Arabidopsis thaliana: one gene and its partners. The protein of the gene in region 2 interacts with the protein of the main gene of each other region in a biochemical or structural test. Each region holds a gene or a part of one and is shown on either strand. Other genes may lie near its edges. The genes, in order: KAN, MPK2, MYB57 and AT3G27290.

Region 1 (7,437 bases), on a different chromosome or scaffold from region 2:
TGACTGGTGTTTACATTGGAGCCTTATCCGTTGCTGCATTCGTCATCTCTACCGCTACAGTTTCTGCTGTCGTTTCTGTCTTAATAGCTTCAGGTTGGTTATATACTCTGCTCTGATTCTGTTTTGGAATCTTGTAATGAGTGACACTCCAAGTTACTTCCTATATGTATTGAAGAATGAAATGAATTTGGTATTGGATCAGGTTGGATTGGGTTTTTCTATGCGGTGTGGTTGGGAACAAGAGGAAGCCTACGCTTGGCTAAGCAATCGGTTTCAGTGGTGGGATCAGCCATTTCAGGTAACACTATCAGTCGTCATCAACACCAAGACCGGGAGGTAAACATCGAATCAACCAACTGAGAATCCGTCCTTACCGCGTTTGTAAATAAACCCCGACTTTTGGTTGTTAATGGAAGCTTGATATAAATATGATCTATGGAGTTTGTTGTGAAGAAGCAGAGAAAGAATGATAAGAATATTTCAAAATGCAACTTGAAACATTTTGTGATCAATGTCTACGGATTTTTGGATCTATGTATGCATACATTGTGTGTTTTATGTACTTAAGAAAGAATAATGATCAGTATCCATATGAAATCTCAACTCAGATCTCTCCCTCTCTCTACATTTCGGCTGCAAAAAAAAAAAAAAAAACTTGAAACCCTCTAGCCAACCAAGAGGCTTTCAAAAAAATATCCAAACTTTCACCACATTTTGATGATCTTCCAATTATATAACTTATGATCACACCACCAGATCAACCTCAAAAAACTAAAAACCCGAAAACCCAAAAACAAAAACTCATACATTGATCATCCACTTTATAATCAAATCATCAATGGAACTTGAGAAGAGGAACCTCCAAATTTCTTCATTTTGGTAGTGATATTCTCTCTCTCTGTGCAAAAATCAACACTCTTGAGCAGCTTGGCTCTCTACGTGTTCTCCTTCTTTTACGCTGAGAATTTCATCGTCACAAAGATATATACTGCATACATGTTTCTGAGTATATATAGAGAGAGAAAGATGAAACAAAAAAATAAAAAATCCAATATATATAAAAATCCAAATTGATCAAGAAAGTCATTTCTCGTGCCAATCTGGTCTGCCTAATGTAAACTCCAAACTTGGATTTTCACAACTAAGATTTCCACACCTCTTTGCTTGATCATTCGACCTTTGCTCCTGCCAATTTTAACTTTATATTAGATTAAAGGACAAAAAAAACACTAAGAAAGGCAATATCTATCTATACAAATATGATTAGATGGGAATTATCAGAACCTGATTTTGAATGCTGGATCTTTGATAATGAGAGATCATTGATGTTGATGAAGTTCTGATCATTGTATCTATGTCGCTTGAGCAGTTATTACTTAATGGCCATGTCTCTCTATTTTATGATTTAAGAAAAGAAAGAAAACAAATTAAGGACAAATTGTATTTATTGATGTATAGATGCCCTAAAAATAAAATAAAAATCACTACACACAAATTGCGTTTTTTTGCAACTTGCTATATGACCACAATCTACATGTCATACTTATGAAGCAAAATTCGTTTATCCTAGTCTTCCTAGATGAATCTTAAGAACCCAAACCAAATTATAATTAAAAAAAAAAACTTGGTACATATAATTAAAGTTCATCAGCCATAAACCCTAACCAATTTCATCTCATTGTAACCAAAACCATCACTCAAATTTTTTCCCCTTAAACTGAACGAAAACAAACTTAAAATATCATCTAAAAACTATTTTTGTTAGAAGAAAATGGATAGATGTGGGATAAACCAAACAATTGTCGTATGAATTACTTGGTAGGAAGTAGGAACAATTAGGTGAGAGAACCCTAAACCCTATCTCAAATTTCGTCAATCTTATTCTTACCTAATGTTTATATATACTTATCGTGTGTATAATACATGTACGTATATACGTAAACGTACCGTGAAGAGTTACTCCAACGAGGTTGTGTGGAAGAAATGTCAGTTTCTTGATGAAGAGAAGTATCATCAGATTGTGCCCTTTGATCCGTCGATGATTGATGATGAACTTCGTTTCCATTTATGCCCATTTCTTCTTCTCCTGACCCATCTGAAATTTTATTTTAACTTTTTATCAAGTTTCGTTGTCTCAAATCAATCACTTATACCCTATAAGGAATCTCATTTAAAACTGAACGATTCTTGTAAGCTTTTTTGTAAAAGACAATGCAGTGAAGAAATTGTTTTTCTTAAAAAATAATTTCAGCATTTCGTGTTGACCAACCTAATATGTGTCTCAAAAAATAGTTTTACAGACTCGAAAATTGTGCCAAATAAACTTTTAATTGGTTAAAGAAAATCCATATGAAACAAGTGGTTTTTCTTTATTCTTAATTCATGAACTTTGCTTGGATATGAGTTTACACTTCACACGTTTTAAATTTAATCTTTTACTCGATTTTTTTTTCTTAGAGAACATCAATATTGGGGATATATGTTTGTTTGGTTTGCTTTGAACTTTGACCACTCAACTTTAGGGTTCAATCAAAGGAAGGATAAAAGCCTTGAGCTTGACCAATATCTTAGGGCTCGTTTTTTATTATTTTGGGGAAAGGGAATAGTAGAAATAGTAGAATCAAATAGTAAAAATAACAGAAATAATTTCACGTCATTATATCTCTACATACATACAAATATCGAATCACAGCTTCAAATTCTGATTGAGAACTAATTTCTTATAAATATTGTAGTCAAAAAAAGCTATAATAGTGATTATATTGGACCTCCATTTCTATAAAATTCTGGTGGAGAATCCTAAGCTTTATTGTATATCTGTCTTATGTTATTTTTTGGTGAATTGTATATCTTTCTTATTAAAAGCCAGTACCATTTCTTTAGCATATATAAAGCTGAAAAAAGCTATACTAAAGAAATGTGAATATGCATAACATTATATGTGTGTGTGTGTGTAAAGGAATCACACGTACCTGATGAAGCAGCAGGCTTGTTAGTGGTCTTAACAGTTCGATACATCTGCAAAAAAAAAAAAATTAAAGGCATGATGAGAGCTCTAAAACTAGAATAAACCATAAATCCAATTAAAGACACAGGAAAAAACCAAAATAAATATCGGACAAAAGATACTGATAAACTAAATAGATTTATTTTTGTATAATGTGATACAGAATTACAGATGACAAACTGGAGAGATATATGCAGACACATATGAACTTTATATTATTAAATAAATAATATATGTAGTACATATGTGTGGTTTTCTGGGTTTGTCTTGGAACTGATGATGTATATATAATTAATTATTTATGATTTTAAGACCACGAGGTTGATGTCTGAAAGAAGGTTGAGTAATAGAAAGATTGTATTATTATCATTGAGTAATGATGACTACTTTTGTCCCCTCTTCCTAATTTAAAAAAGAAAAAATGAATTATAATCCAAAATAACTTCTATCTATCATCTCAATTCTCCATTGTTTAATAATTCTCTGAAAGGTTTCAGTCACTTAAAGCTATAACTACTCTCTCTTTTTCTCTCTTTAAATTCATTCAACTGCTTCAATTTTCTTGGCAATTGTGCCATCTCTTCCAAAATATGACTAAACTTAAAGCAAAGACAAAACAAGAAAATAAAAGTAACACATCAGAATTGGAGCTCTATTCATTGCTCTGATGATATATACGTACACAAAAACCTTGTTTCTTGATTCAGCTGTTTTTGTGCAAAACGCAAAGGAGAAGAGAGTGACATGATGGTGATGAAAACTATGAAATATCCCTAATTATAGAAAATCTTGATTGGTAACGAACTAACTCGACTAGATTAAACCTAAATTAACAAATAAAAATTGATTCTTTGTTGTGTCTAATTTAATTTCAAATAGAGTATAGATTATACCTGCAAATGGCTCTTCACATGTGCTAAAGTTAAGTCTTTTACATCCATGAGCTCAAGAACCGACTTTGGAGTTGCTCCTAGAATCACAACAACAACAAGAATAAAAGATTTAAGACTTTGAGAATAAAGTGAAGAAAAATGGGAATGATCATTAGAATGTGATTATGATATAAATGTGTACTTTCATGGCCGCCTAGAAGCTCAACAGCGTGAACAAACCGCGCGTGGAGGCTACTAGTCCAACGCATCCTTGGAGCTCTCATGCTTCGCTTTGTCGGCATCTTAGGCAAGAATCTTGATCTGATCATCCCATGATGATGATGGTTATGGTGATGAGGAGAAGACGAATCTGAAGATCCAACGACTCCATACTGATTATGATGATGATGATGATGCAAAGGAACACCTTTAAGCCTCGGGGAAGATTGTAATGATCGGTAAGCGTTGTTGTAGCCGGAAGATGAGTTTAAGATTGAGATTTGATCCATGTCTCCTCCTCCAAGAGAAGGTAATGAAGAGTTTTGTTGGTGGAAAGGGAATGAACGGTTGTGATAGACCGGGATGCCTCTAATTGGACGGTGGAGATTACTAATCTCGGATTCATCGACCCTTTGATGAACACCATTGATGATAGGGTTGTTGTAATGCTGCTGATGAGGAAGATTAAGGGTTCTTCGATCAGGACAATGGAAGATTCTTGCTGTTGGATGGTTATGATGAGATAAAGAGAGTTCAAAGTTGGACGATCGGTTGTTGTTTTCGAGTTGGGAGGATCTTCTTGAAGATTCTTTAGAAGATTCATTGTGATGGTATTGATGAATATCTGGGAGACTGATGTGGAGAGATAGATCAGGGAGAGTAGTTGTTGTGTTTGTTTTGGTTTTCTCTAGAAAAACACCTTCCATAGACATAATTAAAGAAACCTTTCTCTTGCTATTGCTGCCACTGAAGTTGTTGATGATGATAAGGATGATGATGGTGATGATGATGATGACTATTCTTTTGTTTTTTTTTTCTCCTGAGGGTTTTGCTTAGGAATTTAAAATGATTTTCTCTAAGGAGAAGAGAAAGCAGAGAGATTCTTTAGGCAAAGAAGTCAAAAGGGTGTCTGAAAGATTTGATATTTTTTTTGTTCTCTTTCTCTCTCTATATCTCAGAAAGAAAGGAGAAAGTGAGAGAGATGAAGTTAAAGAGAAGCTTAGAAGAAGAGAGAGAAGTTGAGTGATGATCTTCTTGAAGAAACAAACATGCTCAAAGTAAGACGCAGAGAGAGAGAAAAAGAAGGAAGAGAGAGATAGAGAGAGGTATGTGTGTTGTGAAGCAAAGGCAGAAGAGAAAAAAGGAATAAAACTAAATCCAGGAAAATTAAAAACAGGTAAGAGAGAGAGATATATGTGTGTTCGTTCATGTACATGTATGTGTATGTGTATGTGTGAGATGTTGTTCCTCGAGAGTATATCTTGGAAAACGATAGTTGAGAAAGGGTAATATTGTCATTCGCTATATTCCAAATATTGGAAGCTTTTTATTTTATTTTGGGATGGTATTTCAATTTGTCTTTTTCACCTTTCAACAAGTAAACCCATCTATCAATATAATATAAATTATTTTACGGCTAGATTAATTGATTTCATGTTTTAGTTTATTCGTTTAAACTACTGAAATTTTGATTTCCATAGATAAAGTTGAAGAATAATAGCAAAATAAATCTTGTTTTCTATCAATTTAGTAGATGAAATTTTCAAATGTAAAGTGTATTTAATAATCGACCAATTTCATAGATGAAAAGCATACAACTTTTAACAATAAAAATTAATACGATTATCATCCATTAAAACCTTAACAATTTGAGTAATAAATCAAAAACTCAATTGATCTTTAAAATAATAATGTTCACAGATTATCATGAAGAATAATAATTAAAAATGTTGGAGAAGAGTACAAGAGGAGAGAGAATAAAGGGTCGCTCTCTTCTGTCCTATCTAATCTATAGTCAAAGCAAAAGCCAAAATTAAATTAAATAAATAAATAACAAGAAGAAAAAAACAAACACAAGACCTATTCTAAAATAAATAAAAAGTTTCATTATAACCAAAAAAAAATAAAATAAAAAAAGAGAGAGTGCTTTGATTTTGGTACCCCGGAGACGACGGGATACATATGTTGAGACTTGAGAGAGAGAAAGAGACTGTGTCCTCTCTGACTCCTTTTTTATTTTCTCCCCCACTCTCTTCGCTTCTCACTTCACTCTCTATTCACATCTTATTATAATAATTCCTTATACGATTTTGGAATCAAACAAATTCAAGTTTCTGACCGTAGATTGTTCAACTATACCTAAAGAGATAAATATACATTAAATATCAGTACGTTCTTGAGTTTATGAATAGCTCGTATAGACATTTAGTTCCTAGAGATGTGACTACAATATCAACCGGCTACTTGTTTGACCGTTTTGTGTTGTCTATCAATTAGAGCCAAATCGAAGTCATATACATGTCGCTTTAAAATACGTACTTGAAAAGAAATAAAATTAGGCAGATTTATATATATTTTTGACTTGTTTGTGTCGAATGTAATAATGTATGCATTCTAGTGTTTCTGTTTTCTTTGTACTCGACATTTTTACATTCACATTGTTCGTTTATAATTCTACAAAAAAAATTATGGAGTTGACTTTATCTACTGTGAAACAGAAATATGTCATACTGAAAAATAATGAAAAATATACAAAATTGAATAGTATTTAACTATTCGTATGTTTTTGTCAAAGAATTATTATATTTTTTTATCCCACTTTTAATTTGGAATATATAAACTCTGTGTTTTGCCTTCCAAAGGTACGGAAATTATTGTCTTAGAAAGTATCTTTCTCTTCAAATACATACATATATGCATACGTGTGTACAATACAAGGTGCCCTCGTACGTATATAAACCAAGTGTCATATAAAGAATTCGATCAATTATTGTAACGTAACATGCATGCTTTTAGATTATACGTGAAGTTAAATATATATTAGACCTAAGAAAATACTCAGCCAGAAAGTGGATTTTGTTTGTTTCCCTTAATAAACAAAAACAAGTGAACCCTAAAGAACCTAAATATTTGCTTCTAATTCCCTTTTCATTCTCCCAAATATTCCTTCTCAATTTAATAACTCTTTTCTAATTTTCTTTAAATTGTCTTCTAAGAAAAAAAATAAACTATTCACTCCTCACATGACCATATCAATACAACATCTCGACAAATCATTAATGCCTTGAAATAAAAATATGATAAATTGTAAGACTATGTTTATATATCAGGAAATTTAAATAAGTGAGATTTTATTCGTTGATTATACAGTAATATATATTTTTCTTATTAGATATAAATTTTAATTATTGGAAAGTAAAGAAGTACAGTATGCTTGCAGTTTTTAGACGTTTTGCTGCATGTGAGTTAAACAAGATACTATTATGATCTATTTAAAAAGCATTTTCAATCAAAAACAGTATAACAACCCTAGCTATACTTCTAACGTTTTTGAATGAG
Region 2 (4,741 bases):
CGTTTTTATTCAGAACAATTAGTAGAAGTAGAGAGCAAGGTGGTACCTTTGATCATCGCAGTATCAGGAGATGTTGGCTCTGAGACTCCTATTAAGTGTGAGCATAGTTATGTTCTCGGTGTATTTCTCAAGAGAACGGTATGTATGAATTGGATTAGATAATCTAGTTTTTCGTTTCTGTGATTTTGGATATGTTAAAAAGAAACGATTTTTTTCAGGCAGAACAACAGGTTTTGAGACGTAATTGGAGATTTTCATGGGTTCGAAATAGTACATTGATGCAGCCGATGACTAAGGAAGTCCCCTGGTATCTGGTATGTCTGTTGGACTTTGATTGGAGTGTATTACTTTCTAAAGTCATTTACAAAATATGATATTGGTTGCCTATAGGACGACGGGACAGGTCGTGTGAATGTAGATGTATCTCAAGGTGAATTAGGCTTGGCGTTGACGGTTGGTAGTGATGTATTTGAAAAGGCAGAGCCGGTATCGCTTGTTCAAGGAGCGTTGGGTTATCTTAAAGGCTTTAAGGTCTTTTCTTTTCCTTTCCTACCACTTTTCATTGATTTGCTTTTGTTTTGACAATGCTTATACATTGTGGCACCATTGTTGTCTATAGATACTTGGAGTAAGACACGTTGAGCGTGTTGTCCCAATTGGTACACCGCTTACAGTTGTTGGTGAGGTATGTCTTTTATCTGTTAGCGGTCCAAAATACGTTTTATATCTCTCTTTGTTATGTTGCTTACCATGTTAACAGGCTGTTAGGGATGGCATGGGGAATGTCAGGATTCAAAAACCTGAGCAAGGACCTTTCTACGTCACTTATATACCGCTAGATCAGCTCATCTCTAAATTGGGAGATTTGTCAAGGTTGTTTCTTTTCTCTGTTTTTGCCTATTCTTTTCTTCGAAAACTATGATTGAAAAAAATTCTAAAAGATCTCTTTCTTTTGGCAGGAGGTTCAAGTATGCCTCCATGGGTTTAACTGTTCTTGGTGTGATTCTTATTTCAAAGCCTGTGATTGAATATATTCTAAAGAGAATTGAAGATACTCTAGAAAGAAGGCGGCGACAATTCGCACTGAAAAGGTATGACGCACCCTAACCACAGCCACGTATGAAGTATTCATTGCGAGTTGCGAGTTGCGAGTTAAGTGTTGGGTAACTTGTTGCAGAGTTGTTGATGCAGCTGCTAGGAGAGCCAAACCAGTAACTGGAGGTAGTAATAGTATCTATCCATTAGAGTTTGTACTTTGTAGTAGTAACATGTGAATCCTTTTTCTGCATACACTTGGAATTGCTCTGCTTACAAAAACGTCTTACCAGGTGGTACAAGCAGAGATGGTGATACACCTGATCTCTGTGTGGTTTGCCTTGACCAGAAGTATAACACCGCTTTTGTTGAGTAAGTATAAGACCGCTTTTCTTCTAAAAGCTCTTGAAAACCCTCTCACTGATCAAACATGGCATCTTTTGATTCCTCTTTTTGTTTGGTTTGGACTTGTAGGTGTGGTCATATGTGCTGCTGCACACCATGCTCCTTGCAACTAAGGACCTGTCCTCTTTGCCGGGAACGAATACAACAAGTTTTGAAAATTTACCGCCATTGAAGGACAAAACTCAGAACGATTTTTACAAGCGAACAATTACTAGTCTTGTACATATAGTAAAGCCTTTGTATCATGAGTTTTTGACTAGAAATTTTTTTGCATTGATAGATTGTGATTGAACAAATGCTAATATAAATTTCAAGCTTAGATTTACATTTACTAATGAAGTTATATAATCACGTTTCGATGTTAAAATAAGAAGTGAAAAAACGTGAACGGCAGGATTCGAACCTGCGCGGGCAAAGCCCACATGATTTCTAGTCATGCCCGATAACCACTCCGGCACGTCCACTTTTTGTTAATTCCTCACTATCTTAAATATCTAATTACCGTTAATTATTACAAATCAGGTTGGGCTTAATTAAGCCCAAAGTTAAAGACAGATTAGTGAAGGAGACAGAGAAAGAAACAGCTCTAAAATGGTAATGAACGAGAAACTAGAGAGTCAACGGTCATAGCGTTGACCAAATCTCTCACTCTCACCAGCCAAATCTCTCCAACTTCCTCTTTCTCTCCACCCAAATCTCGCCGGCGATCGTCACTGACGAATCTGATTCGTCCCCAACACTCAACGGGTAAGCTCTCTCTGCAAAATTCAGATCGTTCTAGCTCAATCTCAACATCGGATCAAGATTCAACTTTTGTTCTTTTCTCTTAAACAAAGCTTTTGATCATTAGTGAAATCTAAAATATTAACCTTTGAATCTGTAAACTTAAGCTTAGAGAACCCTAAGATCAAAACTAAAAATTTGATCTTTCATTGTCACTTGTTGGAAGCAATTCAAAATTCTGTGTTGTGTATATTTTCAAATTTGTGGATTGTTCCAATTTCGATAAAGTTTTGATTTTTATTCCTTTTGTTGTGTGTTTTTATAAGGAGGTAGAAGAATGGCGACTCCTGTTGATCCACCTAATGGAATTAGGAATCAAGGGAAGCATTACTTCTCAATGTGGCAAACACTTTTCGAGATCGATACCAAATACGTGCCTATCAAACCGATAGGCCGAGGCGCGTACGGTGTGGTTTGCTCTTCGGTTAACAGAGAGAGTAATGAGAGAGTGGCGATCAAGAAGATCCACAATGTGTTTGAGAATAGGATTGATGCGTTGAGGACTCTTAGGGAGCTCAAGCTTCTACGTCATCTTCGACATGAGAATGTGGTTGCTCTTAAAGATGTAATGATGGCTAATCATAAGAGAAGCTTTAAGGATGTTTATCTTGTTTATGAGCTTATGGATACTGATCTTCATCAGATTATTAAGTCTTCTCAAGTTCTAAGTAATGACCATTGCCAATACTTCTTGTTCCAGGTATGTGATTTGTTTGCATTTGCTTTTACCATTAGTGTGTGTTGTTTGCATTTGGTGTTTGCATTTACTTGCTTTTTATTTCTTTTGCATAGTTGCTTCGAGGGCTCAAGTATATTCATTCAGCAAACATTCTCCATCGGGATCTGAAACCCGGTAACCTCCTTGTGAATGCAAACTGCGACTTAAAGATATGTGACTTTGGGCTAGCGAGGACGAGCAACACCAAAGGTCAGTTCATGACTGAATATGTTGTGACTAGATGGTACCGAGCACCAGAGCTACTCCTCTGTTGTGACAACTATGGAACCTCCATTGATGTCTGGTCAGTCGGTTGCATATTCGCCGAGCTTCTTGGAAGAAAACCAGTATTCCCGGGAACAGAATGTCTAAACCAGATTAAACTCATCATTAACATTTTGGGTAGCCAGAGAGAGGAAGATCTCGAGTTTATAGATAACCCAAAAGCCAAAAGATACATAGAATCACTCCCTTACTCACCAGGGATATCATTCTCTCGTCTTTACCCGGGTGCAAATGTTTTAGCCATTGATCTGCTTCAGAAAATGCTCGTTCTTGACCCTTCGAAAAGGATTAGTGTCACGGAAGCGCTTCAACATCCTTACATGGCGCCTTTATATGACCCGAGTGCAAATCCTCCTGCTCAAGTTCCTATTGATCTCGATGTAGATGAAGACGAGGATTTGGGAGCAGAGATGATAAGAGAATTAATGTGGAAGGAAATGATTCATTATCATCCAGAAGCTGCTACCATAAACAACAATGAGGTCTCTGAGTTTTGAGATCAAGTCTTTTGCAGGTACTGTTCAGAGAGATCTTTCAACAACTTAAACTTATTTATTTTCATGTTTGCTTCTTGAAATGTTGTTAATAATAGTGTCGAAGAAGAAGAACAATAACTTTAAATTATGTGATATGTTTGTGTCATGGAGCTTTGTTTTGTTTTTGGTTACAAGCTTAAGTGTCTGTAACGTTTGTACATAAGTGTATGTGTCCTTAAAACTTCATACTCTGTCTCTGATCTTATTGTTGGTGATTTTTCTTATTGAAGATTTTCGAATGTTCAAAGAGCAAACCATTGGATTAAATATGATTTTGAAGATAAATGTATTAACACAAAGATATACACTGTTTAAAAAAATTCATGAAATAAAACATATGCATAGAATATCAAAATAAAATTATTTGGGAAATAATTTTCAATGATACATAGAATGTTCCATAGATTCGTAGAATTTTTATAAATGTGTTTTTGACTTTCATGTACCTAATTCTGAATTCAGACTTAGTATATTGTGACATTAATAGAAGTATTAATTGCTTTGTTTGATAAAAATATTTTGATGTCTATCACACACTTAAATTTAACTTAAATGATAGAAAAAATGTCAATAATTAGTAACATTTATGCTTTGGAAAAATATTTTGATGAACAGCGTGTGAATAAGAATCTTTTTTTACTTTTGTAAATGGAAAAATGTAGGACTGCACTAATTATTGAAACCATTGATGTGAAAAAAAAATCAAGAGCCAAAGAGATAAAGATTCTAGAAGACCAAGTCAAGTCTTCTCGTCGATTAATAGTCAATGAATGTTCCTCATCATCATCTCTTTGATTTATGCGTTTGATGTCATTGAGTCATTTCTATACCATTCCGCCAAAAATTCGTTTTAGTTATCCATATGAAATTGCGGTTGGACTATTAAGTCTATAATTTGATTAAACTAATAAGCATATGATGATGAAGCAGTTTATACTTGTAAATCCTCTATTTTATCCAAAACTTATGATCAAATGAT
Region 3 (4,172 bases), on a different chromosome or scaffold from region 2:
TCGTGGACTTGGCCGGTTTCAAAAGTGCGTATAATACTCAAACACATTCATGACTTATTAGTCATTACTTTACCCCTATATATCATCAACTAGTTATTAGACTGAATGATGAATAGCAATCAGACTTTAACTGCTATAAAGGATTACAGATAGGTAGGATTCTTGATCTTGACACAAGTTTGAGTTAAATAGATTTAGTTCAAGACGGGGCAGGAACAGAGCCAAACAAAGGAATTGTCATTCTAAGTTATACAAACATTGAGCCAGGCATAACTTGAAACTATAGAGTCTAAGTTACTACTATTGCTGTTGTTTTGAATCGTGATGGGTTTTGTTATAACATGGGTTTGCTTTGCAGGGTCTTTGTGGGGACTGTGAGTGCGTTCTGTGTGAAACATGCGGAGTGTCCAGTTATGACGATCAAACGCAATGCCGATGAAACTCCCAGTGATCCAGCTGATGACTAAACAATAACAACGTCCCTTCCTTCTTTGATCTATACAGAGAGAGAGTGCTTTTGTGTGTACAAAATCCAAATTCCTACCCCTATATGTATTTGTATCTGTGTATGTATGTGTGTGTGCAGCTTGTTCCGTTTTCTGAATTGGTTTTCAAACTGAACCAAACTGCTATATATTTGGTTTCTTTGAAAGAGTCCAAACATCAAAAACAACAACAATTTGAAAGAAAAAAAAAGAGTACAGTAGTATATATGCTTTAACGACCAGAAGTTACTCAAACACCACCTCCATATGTATTGAAGATTTAATGATTTAATGCACTTTTCGTATGTAAATTAAATGCAACGACATTTCAGCAATAGAAAAACCAAATAACGTACCATACAAAAAAACCCAGCTGGGGCATATAAATGTATAGGAGGTCTATATATATATCTTAAATCACATGGTGGTCACCATTAAGCAAGTGGACGGGCCACAGATCTTCAACGTTCCAGTAATTCTCGTTTGACTGTTGTTCCACCACATTAAACGTCGTCGTCTTCGCCTGAGAGAAGCTCTCAGCCGTGTCTATGGCTTTGCCGGAGCTGCCTTGCGTCGTCATCCCCGAGCTCTGTGAGTTTCCCGAACAATGATGTTGATGATTCATCATATTTTCCGATGACACTTTCATGTGTCTCTGAATCTTTGTCCTCCAGAAGTTCTTTATCTCGTTGTCCGTTCTTCCCGGAAGATGCTTCGCAATCTTCGACCACCTAATGCATATTATAATATTACTTAGCAACATAAAATTAGGTTTAAGATTTGATTTACGTATGCATGTACTAATTAGTGAAACTATATAAGACCTGTTTCCAAGCTTAGCATGAAGCTGAATGATCAAAAGCTGTTCTTCTTCGGTTATGTTCCCTCGCCGCACATCTGGTCGGAGATAGTTCAGCCACCGGAGCCGACAACTTTTTCCAGTACGTTTTAGACCTTATTAACAAAATAAAAACAAAATTTAGTTATATACATAGAAAACATCATCAAAACATGATTTGAATACGTGCAAAAAAGCATACCAGAGGCTTTGGCGACAGAGTTCCAAAGACCTTCACCATGATTAAGGATGTAATTAAAGAGGATGAAATCTTCTTCCATAGTCCAAGGTCCTTTTCTCACTGTTCCTTCTTCTTCTTTCTGTGACGTTATTGTCGCTTTCACTCTCCCTTTCTTCTTCATCGTCGTCTCCATCTTTCTTTCTGTTGTGTATGTGTGTATTTTTGTCTATGCAATCAATAAAGAAAACAGAGAAGAGAGAGAGAGAGAGAGATACTCGAGGCGGGAAGATGATCGACGAATGTTTTCTTTTATAGGGTTGAGACTTGCGACTATATAGTCCTCCAATTGGTAATAATACACATAACCTTAAAAATTAATAAGTAACAGAAACTATCAATAACTTTACACTCGTTTTTCTTTTTTTATGAAAACATATGCATTAATATGCAAAATCAATGAAAATATGAAGTATTTGATTACAAAACTTAATCATATATATAACTCTAAAGTTGCCAAGAAAAACTAAACATCAAATTAATAATTAAACGAGAGAACTTGGCGTGATTAGTTCACGACCACACGAATTGTAAACAGTGAGAAGGAAGAAAGTACAATCTTAAATCAAAGCAAAGCTTGACAGAAACATTACACTGAGTTTATGTATATAACGACTTCTTCCTAACCCTCTATCACTAATATATACTAACCATTATTTATTTAGAACTCACAATCAATGAAGTTCTTTCTTCTCTAAATTTTGAAACTTATATTGATATTTTTATATTCTTGCTATATTTTACCACATCTAAACTACAGTCTGAAATATGTGTTTTATTTTTTTCAACGTTATCTTTTTTTGTTTGTGTGTGTTAACGAGTTTACATTTTATACAAAGAAAATATAAGTAGTATAGATAGAGAAAATGAAATGAAAGTTGTAATAGCGTTTGCTTTTGGGCAATTAATTGAGAAGGTTTGGTGTAATTCATATGCCAAATTTAGTAAGTGAGGTTTTGTGGCTGGAAATCTAAATGATGTGTCAGCTTACAATTCAATTAAATTATTGTAAGAGAGTATAAAAATTGGGTTATTAATATTCTTTTTCAAGAATAATTTAACCAACTACTTATCGTATATTTTGAGTTTGATGATTTAACCAACACATACACTAACTGAAGTTTAAAACTAAATAATAGTTGGTTTACTATAATTCGTAAAAAAAAACCTTGAACTGTCATTCTATGTATAATGATTTTATAATGTTAGTTTGTACTTTGGTTGATGATGATTTATTAAGGATAAACTCCTAAAAGAGTAATCTCCTAACAATCAATGAAAGATTAATATTGATAGTGAAGATAAGCCATGTGTGAACATGTAGTGTGAGCTTTGATTTTAGATTGTAGGAGTTCATGATTCGTTTAGTTGTAAAAGGAAAATTAATTTGTAACCACAAAAAACAAGAGTCTATTTGGAGATTAATAGGCTGTCCTCAATTATATTATCATCAAAGTACACAAGACATACACTTTCATCTAAGCCATAGACTCACCAAACTTCTTTTTCTAATGTTCATTTTTATTTCTTAATTTTTATAATATGACACTTTTGAAAATGAAATACACATAAATAATCCAAGTTTTTTTTTTTTTTTTAATGCTTTTAGATAGTTGTGATTTTGTTCAGCTCGTATTTGGATTAAGATATTACTTGGGTTTTTAATTTGATTATTTCGATTGGGTAGAATCAGTTTATCAAATCGAACTACACTAAACCAAATCTAACAATACTAAACCGAAATCATAATATTACCACTTTGATTTGTAATTTAAATGCTAGAGAATCCCACAGTATTAGAAGAAAGTCGTTCGTATCTAATGAAACATTCTTACCAATCTCTGAGCTGCAATAATAAATAAGATGAAATACAAACTGTAAGATATCAATTGTAGTTTTGAGCGTAAATTTCCAATGGGAGGGAACAGTCTTCTTGGTCTTGTTTTTTTTTCTTTTGTTTCTTCATCGGCCAAAAAATATATAATGTCACAATGATAAGGGAAATCCCCCACAACACAATCTTCTGTCACTTGGCTTTATCAGAGCTTTGTATCTCTCTTTTCATCTGTGTTTCATCATCATCGTCTCGTGGAAGCTGCGAGGAGGAGATCCGGTGGAAGACGGTGGTGGAGCTCTGTTGAATCTCTCAGGGCTACGGCTCCTTTCTCGCTCTCTTCCCCATCCATTGCTGCTTCTACTTTACATCAAAAATTTATACAATCTCAAACTCACAATCATATTTTCAGTGGCATACAGAGATAAATTTACGAAGATGAGGTCCTATGTTAATTTTACCTGTCACGGGAAGCAAAGCTACCTCTGCCACCATAACCAGAGTCGCCACCACGACCACGGCCGCCGGAAGGAGGTCCCCAACGACTGAATTTGTTCATTCCCCCACCACCACGTGTAGCCATTTCGCGGATCTGAGGAGGAACTCGCTGGTTTGCTCCTTCCAAAATCTTGATCAGATCCGAAGCATGTTTCGAATCTTGATCACCAAAGAATGTGAATGCCTGACCAGTCGCTCCAGCTCTTCCTGTTCTTCCGATTCTATGAACATAGTCTTCCACTCCATTGGGGAAATCATAGTTTACGACCGCCCTGTGAT
Region 4 (4,714 bases), on a different chromosome or scaffold from region 2:
ATATATTTGGTAGAAGATTTAATATTATTTACGATTTTATCTCCTTGTAGTGATTTATTTTACAGCTAAATTACAATTTTGACAAATTTCCTTAATTTTTTTTTTAAATGAGTATAAGAAGTTCCATTTTTTCAATATTTGTATATCTTGTAATTTATAAACCAAAAGTTTAACCGCAAATAACACCTTTTTTTTTTGTTGCATTAAGCATCTATCATTATAAATCAAACTTTTAGACATTTTGTTTTTCCTTTTATAAGTTTTTATTTTTCTTTGTTAATAGAGTGTTTTATGAATAATAAATCTAAGTGTCATATTGCTATATATCAGGAATTATTATTTCTAAAAATAGAAGAAGAAATGAGAGATAATCCGTAAAAAATGCCTATGAAATTGTTTAATGAAAAGAAACATTCATTATTAATTTATATCATAATTCTCTTTTTTCATATAACTTTGATATGTTTCTTTATTAAAAATATGTTATTTAAACGTAATAATTACCTACATGATATTATGCATTATACACTGGATGTACAAACTGCGAATAAGTATTGGAATATGAGAGGTATTATTAAGTAAACTAGGTTTGGATGAAGTGACTAGTGAGGATGGTTGGGAGATCTTGCAATGAAAGTTTGTGATCATGGGCTCATGTTTCCAGGGAATGTACAAGCAGGAGTGGATTGATAAGAGATTGATCCATTTTGAAAATTATACAAGTCATTTAACAAAAGCTACATATGGAGGAGATTAAAAGACTAATTAATGATAATGTAAAATAACTCTGATATATTCTTTATTCTCTTCTCTTTTCTTGTAAGTTCTACTTATTTCCCATTTGAATCCTGGTGCTTCAACTTTCAAGTAAAGCTCTAGTCTTTGCTTCTCTTCATCTCTCATGATCAAGTTTGACTCGAGTCCGTTGCAGAATCAAGTTTAGCTCAGATCTTTCATGATGCTGTAGATGAAGACTAAACACCCTTCTGAGTCTTATCATGTTTCCATTTTTTGTTGCAGCTCTTCTTATTGACTTAGGTTTGATACCTCAAGCACCAAGACTCTTCATTCTTCAGAAAACAGTGTATTGAGGATCAAAGTAATGTGTTAAGCTTCGGTTTTGACTTCAAATAAACTATTATAAGCGGTTAGACCTCTTCTCAATGCATACCACACAGCTGAATGCAAAACAGAACGGCTTGTTTTCACAGTCATTTAAGCAACTCCCACACTCATGGCAACGTTCTATGCAGACAACGCAAGCTCTGCAAGATGACTTAGAATAAGGATATTGACCCTTCAATGGACATGTATCTGCTGGACAATCAAATACCAGACTTGGTTTCTCACACCAGGGGCATATCTCGAGGTCAGTAACTCGATCATCCTCTAAATAGAATTCTGATCTACAAGACGTATAGAATCTCTTCTTCCTCTCTTGTAAACCCACTTTAGCATCTCCTCCTAGCAATAAGTTGAGCTCTTTAAACTGCTCCTTTGTGAAATACAACGCCCCACCAGTGATTAGGCTTTTGACTCCAAGACGGTTTGAAGATTTTAAGTCCCTTAAAGTTGACACTAGTCCTGCTGTGCTTAGTCTAAGACAACCAGATACACTCAGCTGCAAAAAAACAGACACACATGAACAAACAACACAGAATCATATAACAAGATTGGTTCCATCATTCGATCAAACTAACCTTAGTAAGATGTGGATTGCTAGCAAGAACTTGCTTCAAGCCATAATCAGTGATACCAACACATCCTCCAAGATTCAAACATCGAACACCGCCTAGAGCACGGCGTGTTAACTTCAAAAGAGACTCATCAGTAACTCTATATTGAAGAAATGAGTCATTAAGATCAATACTTGTCCAGAAAAAAGGTTCCTTTCCAACCGAATCACGCAAAGACCTACAAACTACTTCAACCGCAAGAATCTCTTTCAACTCTAGATATGGAAGAACCAACTCAAACGCGTCATGAGCTTCACCACCACCACCACCATCATCATCATCATCACCATCATCATCATCATTATTATAAAACCAACTTAGAGTCTCGAACAACATCTGATCAACAACACCAATTTCTTTCTGATTCTCATGAAACCAATCAGAGATTGTGTTCAAAGTCGATCTAACTCTCATACAAAACGGATCCTCAGGCAAAGTATGATCTTCTGAGACTAAACCAATCTGATTCTCATGAAACCAATCTGAGATTGAATTCAAAGTCGATCTAATGTTCATACAAAAAGGATCATCAGGCAAACCCACAAAATCATCCCCAAATTCGCCTAAACCCAATTCTAATTTTCTGTAATCGTTATAAGAACCTCGAAGCCTTTCGTAATTAACCTCCATTAACGAATCTCTCAATGAATTAAGGAAATCGAAATCTGAAACAGATCCAATGAAATAAATATATAAAAAAACGGCGAGAGAATGAATGAATGAATGAATGAATGAGAAGGAACGGGATCGCGTAATCAGCGGGAAAAAGGAAAGAGAAAGGATTCGAGAGGAAGAGGAAGAAGAAGAAGAAGGAATCAGAGAAAGAGTTTCAATTGCAAAGAAGATGACTTTTTTTAGGGCTTTTACTCTGTTGCGATTTTGGCGCGTGTCTAACTATAACTTCTAATTTAATAAGAACAAATAATTAATGAGTTTTTTTTCTTCTTTTTAAATTCTAATTAATGATTACGTCTCTAAATTAGATATTTTCATTCACTCTTTTTTTTTTCTTTATAAGTCAGATCTTCTAATTTATAATCTTTTCAAATTTGCAGGATCTTCTATTTTTTTGGGTTATTAGTTTTATTCCTTGTCCATAATCCTATTGATTAACTATTGTATTAAGTAATTTGCCATTTTGTGAACAAAAATTAAGAAGTTATTTACTTATTATAGATTTTGCACTTTTTAATAAAGGAATTTTTGTTAAAGGGCAAGATTTGATAATTTAATTAAGTGAATGACTTCTTGATTGTTGTTAAATAATTATACTTTTATTTTAAATATTTATGAATATACTTTTATTTTAAAATTTGGTATTTTCGTGAGTAAATAAATTAACTAGAACCAATGGAAGCAGCTTATTAAATGATGTTTAACTTTGTACCCTTAAATTAACTAGAACCCTTAAACAGTTAAACATCACTAGATTTTGACCCGCGGTATACCGCGGGGCTAGGTTTTTAATAAAATTTGTTATATAAAATGTATATGTAAATATTTGTTTTATTAATATTGTTTGCTTTGTTTAGTGTTTAAGATAATGTATATATAGATTTTAGTTGTTATATCTAGGATTTCATCCGTAGTATATCGTTTCGTATTATTATCGATCAAAACTCGTCATACCATCTAATCCTGCATATTGAAATTAAACATATCTAATAGATTTCACTTGTGGTATACCGTCTCGTAATACTATCGACCAAACCCTTCCTACCACAAACCCCGTTCAGTAAAATTAGACATTATTTTGTTATTTTTGTTTTAATAATACTTTAGTTTAAAAAATATTTAATTCAAATCAATTTAAAAGTTTTTTTTCAAATGGTTATTTAATTATTATAAAGTTTATATATTATAATATTATAAACACGTCCTACCATCTAGTCCTACTATCTAATCATGTTCGGTGAAATTATTTTTTTATTTTTTTTAATAATATTTTTATTAAAAAATTTATAATTTAAATCAATTTAAAGTTTTCTTTCAAATGGTTATTTAATTTTTAAATATTTTAACTATTTTGACAAAAATAATTAGGCCATGAAATAAAAGCATATTCTTTTGAATAAGATTTGCTTTGATTTGGTAGTTAATTTTTGCATTTAATAAGTCAGTGGCAGCCATTGTAAATAAGTTCTAATTGCAGGATTTATTTCACAAAATGGCTGCAAAAATGTATATATAGATTTGCGGTCAAAAAAGTTAAACATCATTTAAAATGAAAGAGAATGAAACAGTCGTAATGTGTTTTAATTTTTTTTTTTTTTTTTTTTCGTCGTGTTTTAATTTATTTTAGTAAGTATTATTGCCAATTTCTTAATTAAAATTCTATCTAGTTCAATTTCTCTTTTAATAACAAGAGCAGTTATTCTGTGTGTATACGTCGAATTCATGAGATTCAATCCTCTATTAAGCAGAATAAGATCTCTTAATTTAATTAGCTTTTCCACAAAGCTGTTTTGCATTATGTAAAAAAAGAAAACAAGGGACTAGTACAACAAAAACTACAAGGCATAAACAAACAATGTCCTAGTGAAGATCACTAGTATACATAAGATTCACTTAAACAAACTCCAAACTGGTGAAGAGTTTTTATTCAGCAAGCAAGGAAAAAAAAGAAAAAAAACCCTCTTATTTTGTGTGTACTCATCATCATCATCTCTATGATTATACCATTTACAATGTAGGAGGGATCCAAATGTAGCCATGAGTCTGCATATAACCAGCTTTCTTAAGTAGCTGATCTGCTTCCGCTGGGCCACGGCTACCTTGTTTGTATGGGACCGATTTCACTTCTCCCTTGTCGATCCTGTGAAGCAGTGGAGTGAAGATTTCCCAAGCTGCCTGTTTTGTGATTGATCACATACATATATGTGTTTAAAGATCTTCTCAATATATGGTAAAAATCAGATTGTGGAAGTTTCAAACAAAGTTGAGTGATGTGAAGTATCCAGGGGTTCTAAGTGGTGAAG

What was found.
Region 1: of the proteins of MPK2 (region 2) and KAN, one has a biochemical effect on the other in vitro, tested with the Arabidopsis thaliana proteins (one large-scale study listed by BioGRID).
Region 3: of the proteins of MPK2 (region 2) and MYB57, one has a biochemical effect on the other in vitro, tested with the Arabidopsis thaliana proteins (one large-scale study listed by BioGRID).
Region 4: of the proteins of MPK2 (region 2) and AT3G27290, one has a biochemical effect on the other in vitro, tested with the Arabidopsis thaliana proteins (one large-scale study listed by BioGRID).

The regions. Positions count from the first base shown.
Region 1 is NC_003076.8:5,406,282-5,413,718, forward strand, and holds KAN (Homeodomain-like superfamily protein), read right to left. Parts: upstream 5,486-7,437; 5' UTR 4,812-5,485; coding exon 4,082-4,811; intron 3,978-4,081; coding exon 3,901-3,977; intron 3,019-3,900; coding exon 2,973-3,018; intron 2,096-2,972; coding exon 1,948-2,095; intron 1,394-1,947; coding exon 1,285-1,393; intron 1,186-1,284; coding exon 1,084-1,185; 3' UTR 582-1,083; downstream 1-581. Other genes in the region: AT5G16550 (voltage-dependent L-type calcium channel subunit), read left to right, coding at 1-93, 203-360. UniProt on the Arabidopsis thaliana protein: Transcriptional repressor that regulates lateral organ polarity. Promotes lateral organ abaxial identity by repressing the adaxial regulator ASYMMETRIC LEAVES2 (AS2) in abaxial cells. Required for abaxial identity in both leaves and carpels.
Region 2 is NC_003070.9:21,882,021-21,886,761, forward strand, and holds MPK2 (mitogen-activated protein kinase homolog 2), read left to right. Parts: upstream 1-1,997; 5' UTR 1,998-2,187; intron 2,188-2,489; 5' UTR 2,490-2,500; coding exon 2,501-2,923; intron 2,924-3,015; coding exon 3,016-3,723; 3' UTR 3,724-4,031; downstream 4,032-4,741. Other genes in the region: ZCF61 (E3 Ubiquitin ligase family protein), read left to right, coding at 14-138, 219-314, 391-531, 620-685, 761-873, 960-1,091, 1,178-1,221, 1,329-1,407 and 1 more.
Region 3 is NC_003074.8:209,455-213,626, forward strand, and holds MYB57 (myb domain protein 57), read right to left. Parts: upstream 2,351-4,172; 5' UTR 1,698-2,350; coding exon 1,526-1,697; intron 1,440-1,525; coding exon 1,310-1,439; intron 1,217-1,309; coding exon 898-1,216; 3' UTR 665-897; downstream 1-664. Other genes in the region: AT3G01520 (Adenine nucleotide alpha hydrolases-like superfamily protein), read left to right, coding at 1-24, 359-467; DRH1 (DEAD box RNA helicase 1), read right to left, coding at 3,623-3,758, 3,857-4,165. UniProt on the Arabidopsis thaliana protein: Transcription factor acting redundantly with MYB21 and MYB24 to control stamen filament elongation in the late developed flowers. Repressed at the transcript levels by DELLA proteins.
Region 4 is NC_003074.8:10,078,900-10,083,613, forward strand, and holds AT3G27290 (RNI-like superfamily protein), read right to left. Parts: upstream 2,635-4,714; 5' UTR 2,367-2,634; coding exon 1,701-2,366; intron 1,622-1,700; coding exon 1,139-1,621; 3' UTR 563-1,138; downstream 1-562. Other genes in the region: G6PD5 (glucose-6-phosphate dehydrogenase 5), read right to left, coding at 4,419-4,586.